Arabidopsis thaliana: one gene and its partner. The protein of the gene in region 1 interacts with the protein of each later gene in a pairwise test. Each region holds a gene or a part of one and is shown in the gene's direction. Other genes may lie near its edges. The genes, in order: AT4G29780 and NDL1.

Region 1 (5,261 bases):
AACCAAGTGAGCTGAGATCTTGGTAAGTATCTGGAGAAGTTTATGCTAGTTTGTCGTTCCTATATTAAGAATGTTTTATCAGACTTATATTTTATGTTTAAGAAGTGAAGTATCTTGAAAACCGTATGCTTGTTGTGGAACTCAGTTTGTGGTCTGAAATTAAGATTTGTTTTATGAGACTTTTATCTGTGTTTTAAGAAGTTGATCGCTACTACTTTCTAAAGATATATTTAGAATCTATCTGTTGAATGTGACACCAATTGTGAGGATTAGTATTTTACTATTTTAAAAGGGCAGGAGCATATTGAAGACCAAAAATTTGTTGACTATTGTAAACTGGCTAGTGGCTAATAGTCAACTGATATTGTGGCTATGTCAACGGTCAACGTGACGATTGGAACAGACAAAAGGCATGGTTCACTCCAAGCCCAAGTCACCGATTTATTTATTTATACCCAACTCAATTACCATACATAACTCAAAAGAGACATATGCCATTGCCGACTAGAAAAAAAAACGACTCTAAACTAAAAAGATAGAATTTCGTTTTTCTTGTATAGGTAGACTTTTATTCATCTTCACAACAACCAAATTTGGCTGCAAAGTATTTATAACGTTTAATTTGTTACGTTGTACTGCTGCGGTACAAATTTGAAGATTCTAAGAATGTCTTTTCATGATGCTGTTGAAACACGGATTAATGTTGAAGCTTTATTTTAATTGACATAAGAGTTTTCATGATATGCTACTACTACTACTACTAGTAGGAGGACAAAATGTAAATGTGTTAGATTCTCTTTTACAAATAAGGAAATAACAAATTTATGCTTATCCAGACTTATCCAAAAGCCAAAAATATCTACGCAATAGATAGTACTAATTTTGTGTATAATAAACATGAGATCTTTGGACAAGTAACTTCTTAAGACATAAATACACTATTTTGCATAAACAAGAAACTTGGCTTCCGTTTTCTTCTCATGAAAAGCTTATTTGCTTGCACAGCTCAGCTCAGAAGTCAGAATCAGAACTCGTAAGATACATCCCTCTCGAAGAGCCTACCATCTTTATCGCGTTACAACAAAATTACCAAAATCTGCCACTTCCAAGAAACTTCTGAGATCCTCTTCTGGAAACGTGTTTTTTCCTCAAAAGTAACAACAAAATAAGAAAGACACGAAAGAGCCTCATTATTTATTTAAACATATTAAGAATATTCCTATTGAAGACAAAGGCATACAAAGGCACCAACCATGCCCCCTTACCGCGTAAATCTATAAAAAAAACATACAAAATCAAATATAAACAACTAATAAGAATATTATTTTGGACTCGACGATTAAATGTTTTTAATTATTGTATTGTGTTGGGTTTTTTTTTTTTTTTTTTTTCTTTTTTAACTTTTACGCCAGAAATTCTACAATCCCTTGGAAGTTATTTTTACTTATAACTTCTTAGTCCAAAACATGATAAACGAAATTAACGTTCTCTCCAACGGCTAATTAAATAACCATTAAAAGTTTGAATTAACTACTTCAAATTTTAAATGTGTAGTTGGAAAAAATAATCTGAAAATGGATTGGTAAGTTCCTAAATAATCGACCAATTCTCTTCTTACTAAAACAATAAGCTAGAACAATTTTTTATAGACCAATTCTTTTTTTATTTTAATGAATCTCAATATAGTCAATACTCATACATAAAAAACAGAAAAATATAACCTAGTCACATCTATATAAAATAGAGCCAGTTTTTTTTTTTTTTTTTTTATAATCATAAGATAATAATAAGACTAGTAAACCAATTTCCTTTACTCATCAAATGTCATAGAAAAGACTAATAAATTAAACTCACAAGGATTTAATGCCAAATCTTCTAGTTGATATATATCTAAATCCAGTATTACTAAATTAGTTTGTACTTGCACTATGCATATCGAATCTAATATATATAAGGCTTAATAAAACATGTGTTTCTTTTTGTCTTTTATCAAAAACAAGATTTACGCGGTGCAATCTCAATAAAACAGTAACGAGTAAACGCTTTATCTAATCAAAAATAATAATAAAATAATCTGCAAAAAAGAAAGTCAAGTCACCGTCAAACCCATCCCGCTTAGCTTACCGCGTTCACACCTTCACGCGCTTCCTTCGTCCTTTGCGTCTCTCTCTATTTTTTTACAAACACAGACAAATAAACCTTTTTCATATATATATATCGTCTGAAACCAAAACCAAAACCATAAAACTCAAAAATCTTTGGTCTTCAAACTTCAAACACTTGAGAAAAAAGCTTTTGATTTCACATCTTAATCTAACAAGTCAAACACTTTTCAAACCACAAAATTCGTCAAAGCTCTGAAACAAATAAACATTTTTTAATTTCTCCCTTTTTAATGGAAATCTCTTCTTTCCCATTTCCATACCTACAAGACGACGAGTGTTCCCATTTCCTTGGTCTATTTCAAGACATGGACTCTTCTCCTTCTACTTTCGGATTAGAAGGTTTTAATAGCAACGACAATAATACTAATCAAAAGAAACGCCCAAGAAAAGACGACGAAGGCGGTGGTGGTGGCGGCGGAGGAACAGAAGTTCTAGGAGCTGTTAATGGTAATAATAAGGCTGCTTTTGGAGATATACTCGCGACGCTTCTGTTGTTAGACGAGGAAGCTAAACAGCAACAAGAACAGTGGGATTTTGAATTTATTAAAGAGAAGTCTTTACTTGAAGCTAATCATAAGAAGAAAGTGAAAACAATGGATGGTTATTACAATCAAATGCAAGATCATTACTCTGCAGCTGGTGAAACCGATGGTTCGCGTTCAAAACGCGCACGGAAAACCGCGGTTGCGGCTGTGGTTTCCGCGGTAGCTTCCGGGGCGGACACAACCGGTTTAGCTGCTCCGGTTCCGACCGCGGATATCGCTAGCGGTTCCGGGTCAGGACCGAGTCATAGGAGGTTATGGGTTAAAGAACGAACCACGGACTGGTGGGACAGAGTAAGCCGGCCTGATTTTCCAGAAGACGAGTTTCGGCGAGAGTTCCGTATGAGCAAATCGACGTTTAACCTAATATGCGAGGAGCTAGATACGACGGTGACGAAGAAAAACACGATGTTAAGAGACGCGATTCCAGCTCCAAAACGCGTAGGCGTTTGCGTTTGGCGTTTGGCGACAGGAGCTCCGCTTCGCCACGTGTCGGAGCGTTTCGGTCTGGGAATCTCAACTTGCCACAAACTAGTCATCGAAGTCTGCCGCGCGATCTACGACGTTCTCATGCCCAAGTATCTCCTCTGGCCGTCGGATTCAGAGATAAACTCAACGAAAGCCAAATTCGAATCGGTCCACAAAATACCAAACGTCGTCGGATCAATCTACACCACACATATTCCGATCATCGCTCCGAAAGTCCACGTGGCGGCGTATTTTAACAAGAGACACACGGAGAGGAATCAGAAGACGTCGTACTCGATAACAGTACAAGGAGTGGTCAACGCCGACGGGATCTTCACCGACGTTTGTATCGGAAACCCAGGATCTCTCACCGACGATCAGATCCTGGAGAAATCTTCGCTTTCACGGCAAAGAGCGGCGCGTGGGATGTTACGTGACAGCTGGATAGTTGGAAACTCTGGGTTTCCGTTGACTGATTATCTTCTTGTACCGTACACGAGACAGAATCTGACGTGGACGCAGCACGCGTTTAACGAGAGTATCGGAGAGATTCAGGGGATTGCGACGGCTGCGTTTGAGAGGCTCAAAGGACGGTGGGCTTGTTTGCAGAAACGGACGGAGGTGAAGCTTCAGGATCTGCCGTACGTGCTTGGAGCTTGTTGTGTGTTGCATAACATTTGTGAGATGAGGAAGGAGGAGATGTTGCCGGAGTTGAAGTTTGAGGTTTTTGATGATGTGGCGGTGCCGGAGAATAATATCCGATCTGCTAGTGCGGTTAATACGAGGGATCATATCTCTCACAATCTCTTGCATCGTGGACTTGCCGGGACAAGAACTCTATAGGCTCTGTTTTTCACCTTTTCTTATTTTGAAACTGATTTTTTATTGCAAATTCTTTTTCCAAATTAGGAATAAAAACATTTTAGGGATTGGTTGGATACAGAAAGAATAGTTGAATTGAGAGTAGAAGTGGCTGATGATATTGTTTGTGTTACTTATTAGCATTGTGTAATCTTTAGTTCATGTATTTTCTATACAAATTGAATCTGAAACCTCTTAAGTATAAGCTTCTTCTCTTTCGATTTTTCACAAAATTGGTCGACTAGAAAAAGAAGAAGCAATTCCACTTTTATTACAAGCTCAGGCTCAGACAGAAGTACAAGTGTACAACCATGAATAAATGGAAGTTGTACTTAATCTGTTTCGTTTGCAGGATCTTCCTTATCTATTGATGTGTTGAGCTCTTTGAGAAGGAATGCAAATTTGGAAGCATGTTTTCCTTTGTCATTCATTATTTGTGGGCTAAATGATACAAAGAGGAAAGCCATATGAACATGTTATTTACTGTCACATGGCGCACACAGAGGAAAAGCCATATGAAATACAACATTTGAATATGAAACTTGTTGGAACTTTTTTGACAAAACTTTTCCGGTGACTTTCCGGCCAAATTCCGGCCAAACGGCTGAACGGAATTGTAGGGTCATTAGTGCATTGGAAAGTTAGTAAAGAGTACTACAAAATGGTATACACATACGTCAAAAATGAAGTTGTATTGAATGAGAAATAAAGGTGTAAAGTGGGACACTTGGGCCAAACCGGACCGAACCGAACCAGGCTGCGGGTTGTCGGGACGTCCCGTCGTCGGCTCAAGGGCTTTCAGACTTGCGAACCGTCATACTTGTGAGTTATTGAGTTTGCTGAGTTGAATCTTATGGAAATATTCTCAGGATGGTCTCAAAATATTCTCAAGATAGTTTCAAAATATGTCATGTTTATCCTGAGAATGTTCTGCAAAATCTTATCTACTTCTACTATATAAAGAGATTCAACCTCTCATTATTTCTAAAACTCTCAAACACAAAACAGTCTAAATTCTAAAATCTCTCCTCTCTCTTGCTTTTTAAAAGTAATTTCTTAGTTTACTTTCACATAAACATAGTCATGATTCCATTGATTTAAAACTTAAAAGTTTCTAATCATGTTTTTTTTTACAAACGTGAATGTGGATTAAATGAGATTTCAATGGAAAGAAAACAAAGAATTGGAGATGCAAATTTCCTTAAAAGCCATTAAGCTTACTTTG
Region 2 (5,735 bases), on another chromosome or scaffold:
CTAGTGGTATGATTCTCGCTTTGGGTGCGAGAGGTCCCGAGTTCGATTCTCGGAACGCCCCATTTGTATTTTTTATGTTCACACTCTTTTTGCCACTCTTTTTGCCAAATAGTCCATTTTTCCCAAAAGATCCATAACTTTAAGAACATGTAATCATTAACCAAAGTTAGTTATTCTTGGTGAATCTAGTTGACTTTGGGAGAGGAGAAAGAACCGATTTTAGTTATTCTTCCCCATTATTGAAGTCTAGTTCTCGGCCAAATATTCAACAACAAAAAATTGACTATTGTGAAAATTAGGCTTGTTTTGAAATAGGTCTAACTTAAGATATTAACCATAAATTCGGTTATTGTATTGTTGTTTGGTACAATGTAAACCGGTTACTAAACCGGAACACTCTACATATAAAGAGTGTTTCATGTAACAGAACAATTAAGAAGAATAACAAATTTTTCTCATCTTCTTCATTTCTCTGAATTCGTTCATCAACTATTATGGTATCAGAGTGATGGATCTCGAAGATTCATCCGATTCAACCTAAACTCTGAGTATCTTCGAGCTCTTGGATCTTCCAAACTCGTTGATTCTTTGTTTCTTCAATTTTCTACGTTTTCTGGAAAATTTCAGTTGTTTAGAGCTTCGTTGATCTTGCGATGGTTTCCGTAGAGAAATTGCGGCGTCGTACTAGAAGATCGAGCAAAACTTCAGCTGAGAAAACTCCAGATCGTGTTCAAGCTTCACCGATTCCACCGATTCCACCAATTTCGAATCCGTTTCAACAAAATTTCAATTCAAAACCATCGATCTATCCTTTACCACAGTTCGACTTCTCGGATGCTCATTATTCGCCATTCGCGCTCTCAAATGGTGAGTCCTGGGAATACACTTGTTTCTGAGGTACTTGATGGATCTAATTTCTCTTCTTGGAAGATTGCGATGTTTGTTTCTTTGAACGTTAAGAATAAGATTGCTTTTGTTGATGGAACTTTACCAAGACCTCCTGAATCTGATCCTAGCTTTAGAGTGTGGTCACGATGCAACAGTATGGTTAAATCTAGGATCCTTAATTCTGTTACAAAGCAGATCTATAAGAGTATACTTCGTTTCAATGATGCTGCAGAGATCTGGAAAGACTTGGATACTAGATTTCACATTACGAATTTGCCAAGGTCTTATCAGCTAACTCAGCAGATTTGGTCACTTCAAAGTTTTGCTTTCAATGATATCTCTTTCTCACCTTCGACTTTATGGTTACTATGTTCTCTAACGTCCTCTAGACAAGTGTTATCACAAAATACATGGATCATAGATAGTGGTGTTACTCATCATGTTTCTTATGATAGGAATATGTTTGAAAGCCTATCTGATGGTTTAAGATTAGTCCATTTCTAATTTTCTACTAAGATATATTTTTTCCAACTCAAAGTGAAAAAATTGCGAATAGTATAAATATACAATTGTTTATTAAATATTGATGTTCTTAATATTATTACATAAAAATAATTTTTTATATGTAATAGTATTTTTAGAAAATTTGGTTTCTCTTTTTTTTTTTAATAATAAAACTAAACAGTCTCTAAAAATTTATATTCGGTTTGCTTAATGTTAATTTTGTTGTTAACCAAAACTTCGCACCTCCCTTACTTATCCAATTATCAACATTTAATATTTGTTTACATTTATACAATTATCCAATTTATTTACAGCAATTTTTCCGAATTAGTATTCGACTGTTATTGGTGAAATTCGAGCTGGTTAATAATATTTATCAAAAATAAGTTTCTATAAATAAATCAAATTAAAAATGTTTCTTATTTTAAGTTTTTTGACCGTTCGCGTGTCATGTTACGACTACCGGCGTCTATGGAGAAATCACCGCAAAATTTATAGAGAGAGTAAAACGAAAGAGAAGAAAAAAAGGAAAACGAAAAAAAAACGTTTCTTTTTCCAGAGAGGTCTTAAGAGAGAGGAGAGAGAAAAGGCATCGCTTTGTATATAAGCTAAAGAAAAGCCAAAAAACAATCTAGAGGTTGGGAGAAGAAGAAGAAGAAAAGAGAAGAAGCTCTTGTTATCCCGGCGTTCTTAAAACAACGACGGCGACGGTGACGGCTAAGCGGAAGAGCTTTTGTTGCCAATGACGGACTCTTACGGCGCCGTCTCCGTCGACGTTGGAACAATCTATCTTGGTGGCAAGGTTTCATTCTTTAACCTTTGAACTCGGATCCGAATAAAGCTTTGATTTTTGTTTCTGGGTTTATCTTAAACTTGCTTAAATCTAATCTTTCTGTTGATTTGGGGAAGAACAGACATGTGGGCATTGTTAGATTCATTTGTTTTTGTAAAAAAAAGACTCATCTTTTGTTTGAATCAAATGTTCTTGGAGAAATTCTTTGCTTGTGGATTTGTGAAACTTCTTTTATTATTATGATTCATTTCCAGATGGGATTATTCTTGGGATCTTCTTCTTCTCTCTATTCAAAGATATCTTCTTCTTATTATTATTTTGTATTCCTTATTCTTTGTCTTATTGCCTTTTGATTTTTTTATCTTATAGAAAAAAGAAAAGAAAATGCCAGCTGTTTTTGTCTACCATTAACCTTTTGTTTAATAAGACTAATGCTTCTTTATTATCTCATTAAGACTCATATTAGCTCATCTTTTTTAAACTGTCATTCCCTTTTTATTAAAAAAAAACCACAATGATTAGAATTAGGCCATTTCTCTTTGGTTGTTGATGATCAAGTTTTTGGTTTTGTTTTTTTGCCCTTAAAAGTAGTAAAGCTGCACATGGAAAAGCTTTAACAGAGATGTTTTCTTTTTTGTGTGTGTGTTAATCAAAGCATTTCTTTTCCACCTAAAGTCAGTTGTCATATTCCTATCTTTAGTATACATTTACTAACGAGAAAATAGATTCATTGTTTACAAACACATGTTTTATGAATATGGAGTAGACAAATGGTATGGTTAAAAGTTTAGTTTTTTTCTGTTGGTTTCATGATCCGTTACTTTTGTTATAACTTGTTGGTTTCTTGTGTTCAGGAGCATCGTGTTAAAACTGCTAGTGGTGTTGTGTCTGTCATTGTCTATGGAGACAGAGAAAAGCCAGCATTGATTACTTATCCTGATTTAGCCCTAAACCGTAAGGCTAAAGAATCTCTATAGGCACTAATGTAATGGCTAAATTTATTAATGTTTTTGTTGTTTCTTCTTCAGATATGTCATGCTTCCAAGGGTTATTCTTCTGTCCTGAAGCAGCTTCATTGCTGCTTCATAACTTCTGCATTTACCATATCAGTCCACCTGGGCATGAGGTCCAATATTTTAGTTTCTCTTTTTTTAACTTGCCGTATGCTTTGCTTGACGTGATTACTTACTCACATGACTTCTCTGTTTTCTTGCAGTTAGGAGCTGCTCCAATTTGTCCTAATGATTCAGTCCCTTCTGCTGAAAACTTGGCAGATCAGATCCTTGAAGTTCTCAACTTTTTCGGGTAACGATGGAATCCCTTATTTTTGGCTTATTGAAGTTCTCAACTTTTGTTTTTCGGGTAACAATGTATAAGCTTTTTGTTCAGCCTTGGTGTTGTGATGTGTATGGGAGTGACTGCAGGTGCTTATATCCTCACCTTATTCGCGGTATGTTCCTATTTATTTTTCTCTTCTCATTGCCCATTGCTTCAGAAGAATACTGTGTTTATCATCTCTTCTATGTTTTAAAACTTTTCAGATGAAACATAGAGAACGGGTTCTTGGTTTGATTCTTGTCTCACCGTTATGCAAGGCGCCGTCTTGGTCTGAATGGTTTTACAACAAGGTTATCACAAACTTGTTATATTATTACGGAATGTGTGGAGTGGTAAAGGAATTTTTGCTTCAGAGATATTTTAGTAAGGTGTGTTCACTGCAGTTACCATTGCTCTCTCTCTGCACTTGTTGCATTTCCAGACTTCTCTTATTTAAACCGGTTGCAACTGCTTGCTACAGGAAGTCCGTGGTAACGTTGAGATTCCAGAGTCAGATATAGCACAAGCTTGCAGAAGAGTCAGTGTTTATCTCTTCTGTTGTTTTTCTGTTTCATCAATAGATTGATTTTACTGTATCAGTGATTCACACCTTGCACTTTTGGTGATTGTCTCAGCTGCTTGATGAAAGACAAGGCATAAACGTTTTGCGATTTCTTGACGCCATTGACCGGTAACACAACAAACACCTCGAAATCCTTTACCTTAGAAGCATTCATTCATTCATGGTGTCAAATATTGACTTTTCTTTAACTTTATGCAAACCAAACCTTTGCTCTTGCAGGAGACCTGACATCTCAAGTGGATTGAAGAAACTAAAATGCAGGACACTTATCTTCATCGGAGATCAATCTCCTTTCTACTCAGAAGCTGTTCACATGGCAGCAACTTTGGATAGAGGATACTGTGCTTTGGTTGAGGTTTGAGAAAACGAATCCTCATCCTTTGTACTTTACATATAAACACATGTTTGGTTTTCTTGCTACTAATAGATGTTTTCTTGGAAATATTATCAGGTTCAGGCTTGTGGTTCAATGGTAACAGAGGAGCAACCACATGCAATGTTGATCCCAATGGAATATTTCTTGATGGGTTACGGATTATACAGACCATCTCTTTTCTCCGAGAGCCCTAGAAGTCCACTTAGCCCTTCTTGTATTTCACCTGAGCTTCTCTCTCCTGAAAGCATGGGATTAAAGCTTAAGCCTATCAAAACCAGAATTTCGGCGGCTTAAGTGTGTGTGCACTACTGATTCATTGGTTCTAATTTTGCTGAGGAGAAGAAATCTTAGGGCTTTTGTAGATATAGAACAATACTAGGGAGATTTGAGAAGAAGAAGACGAAGAAGAAAAATTCAAGCCACCATCATATAACACATTCTTTTGTAGTCAGCCGACACGACAGTTCTCTTGTTAAGATGCCACAAAATGTTGTTTATTATTTCATTTTTTTATACATATGTAAAATGTTCTGTTCTTGTGACATTGTAACAATTGTTTTGTGACGAACTCTGCAGAAGCAAGTAATAAAATTCATTTTGCATTTTGTTTTTGGTTCTCTAATTGGCCTTACAAGCACATTGATTTCACCAAGTTAGAATCTGGTTTTTGCTTAATATTGATATTTAATGGTTTAACAGTCTTGATCCTGAACTATTTGGATCATCAGATTGAAACTTTTTAGTCTGAATTGAATTGTAAATGGAAATGGAGACCAATCCTTCTTTGCAGAAGCCGTAAGTTATATACTGATATAAGATACGCATAAGGATTAGTTGCGGTTGACGAAAACATAGTCCCTCATGAACCGGGGTAAAGGCGAAGAATGCTTCACTTAGTCTGAACAAGTTCAATGCTCCTCGATGTTTGTCAAGCCCGTAAAATGGATGCAGACAAGTGTAAATCCGAGCCAAACCCGAATACAAAGTAGAAGAAGTGTATAAACTCTTGGATAACTAATGATTGAATAATAACATCAAATTAAGGCCATTTCTTGTATTGAACATCGTAAGATGTTTTGTAAATTACAAATACAACAAAGCTCACTTACCTCAGCACCTCTCTATAAGCGAATGGTCAGAAAGTTTTTCACTTTCAAAACCACAGAAACAATTATAACAACAACTTTATATGATGTAATCTGACCATTCCGAGATGAATGAAGTATGATCCATCGATTCTCCAGGACATTCCTCATCATGAATCGTTGGCTTCT

What was found.
Region 2: the proteins of AT4G29780 (region 1) and NDL1 interact in a two-hybrid assay, tested with the Arabidopsis thaliana proteins (one large-scale study listed by BioGRID).

Annotation. Positions count from the first base shown.
Region 1 is NC_003075.7:14,577,464-14,582,724, forward strand, and holds AT4G29780 (nuclease), read left to right. Parts: upstream 1-2,099; 5' UTR 2,100-2,395; coding exon 2,396-4,018; 3' UTR 4,019-4,594; downstream 4,595-5,261. Other genes in the region: AT4G29770 (target of trans acting-siR480/255 protein), read left to right, coding at 1-2.
Region 2 is NC_003076.8:22,955,852-22,961,586, forward strand, and holds NDL1 (N-MYC downregulated-like 1), read left to right. Parts: upstream 1-1,777; 5' UTR 1,778-2,134; coding exon 2,135-2,194; intron 2,195-2,657; exon of another isoform or gene 2,658-2,955; coding exon of another isoform or gene 2,956-2,958; intron 2,959-3,039; coding exon 3,040-3,139; intron 3,140-3,213; coding exon 3,214-3,311; intron 3,312-3,401; coding exon 3,402-3,490; intron 3,491-3,574; coding exon 3,575-3,635; intron 3,636-3,726; coding exon 3,727-3,891; intron 3,892-3,983; coding exon 3,984-4,040; intron 4,041-4,137; coding exon 4,138-4,193; intron 4,194-4,304; coding exon 4,305-4,440; intron 4,441-4,536; coding exon 4,537-4,755; 3' UTR 4,756-5,065; downstream 5,066-5,735. Other genes in the region: SERAT1;1 (serine acetyltransferase 1;1), read right to left, coding at 5,647-5,735. UniProt on the Arabidopsis thaliana protein: Interacts with the heterotrimeric G protein beta subunit GB1 and plays an significant role in GB1-dependent regulation of lateral root formation. Involved in a signaling pathway that modulates root auxin transport and auxin gradients.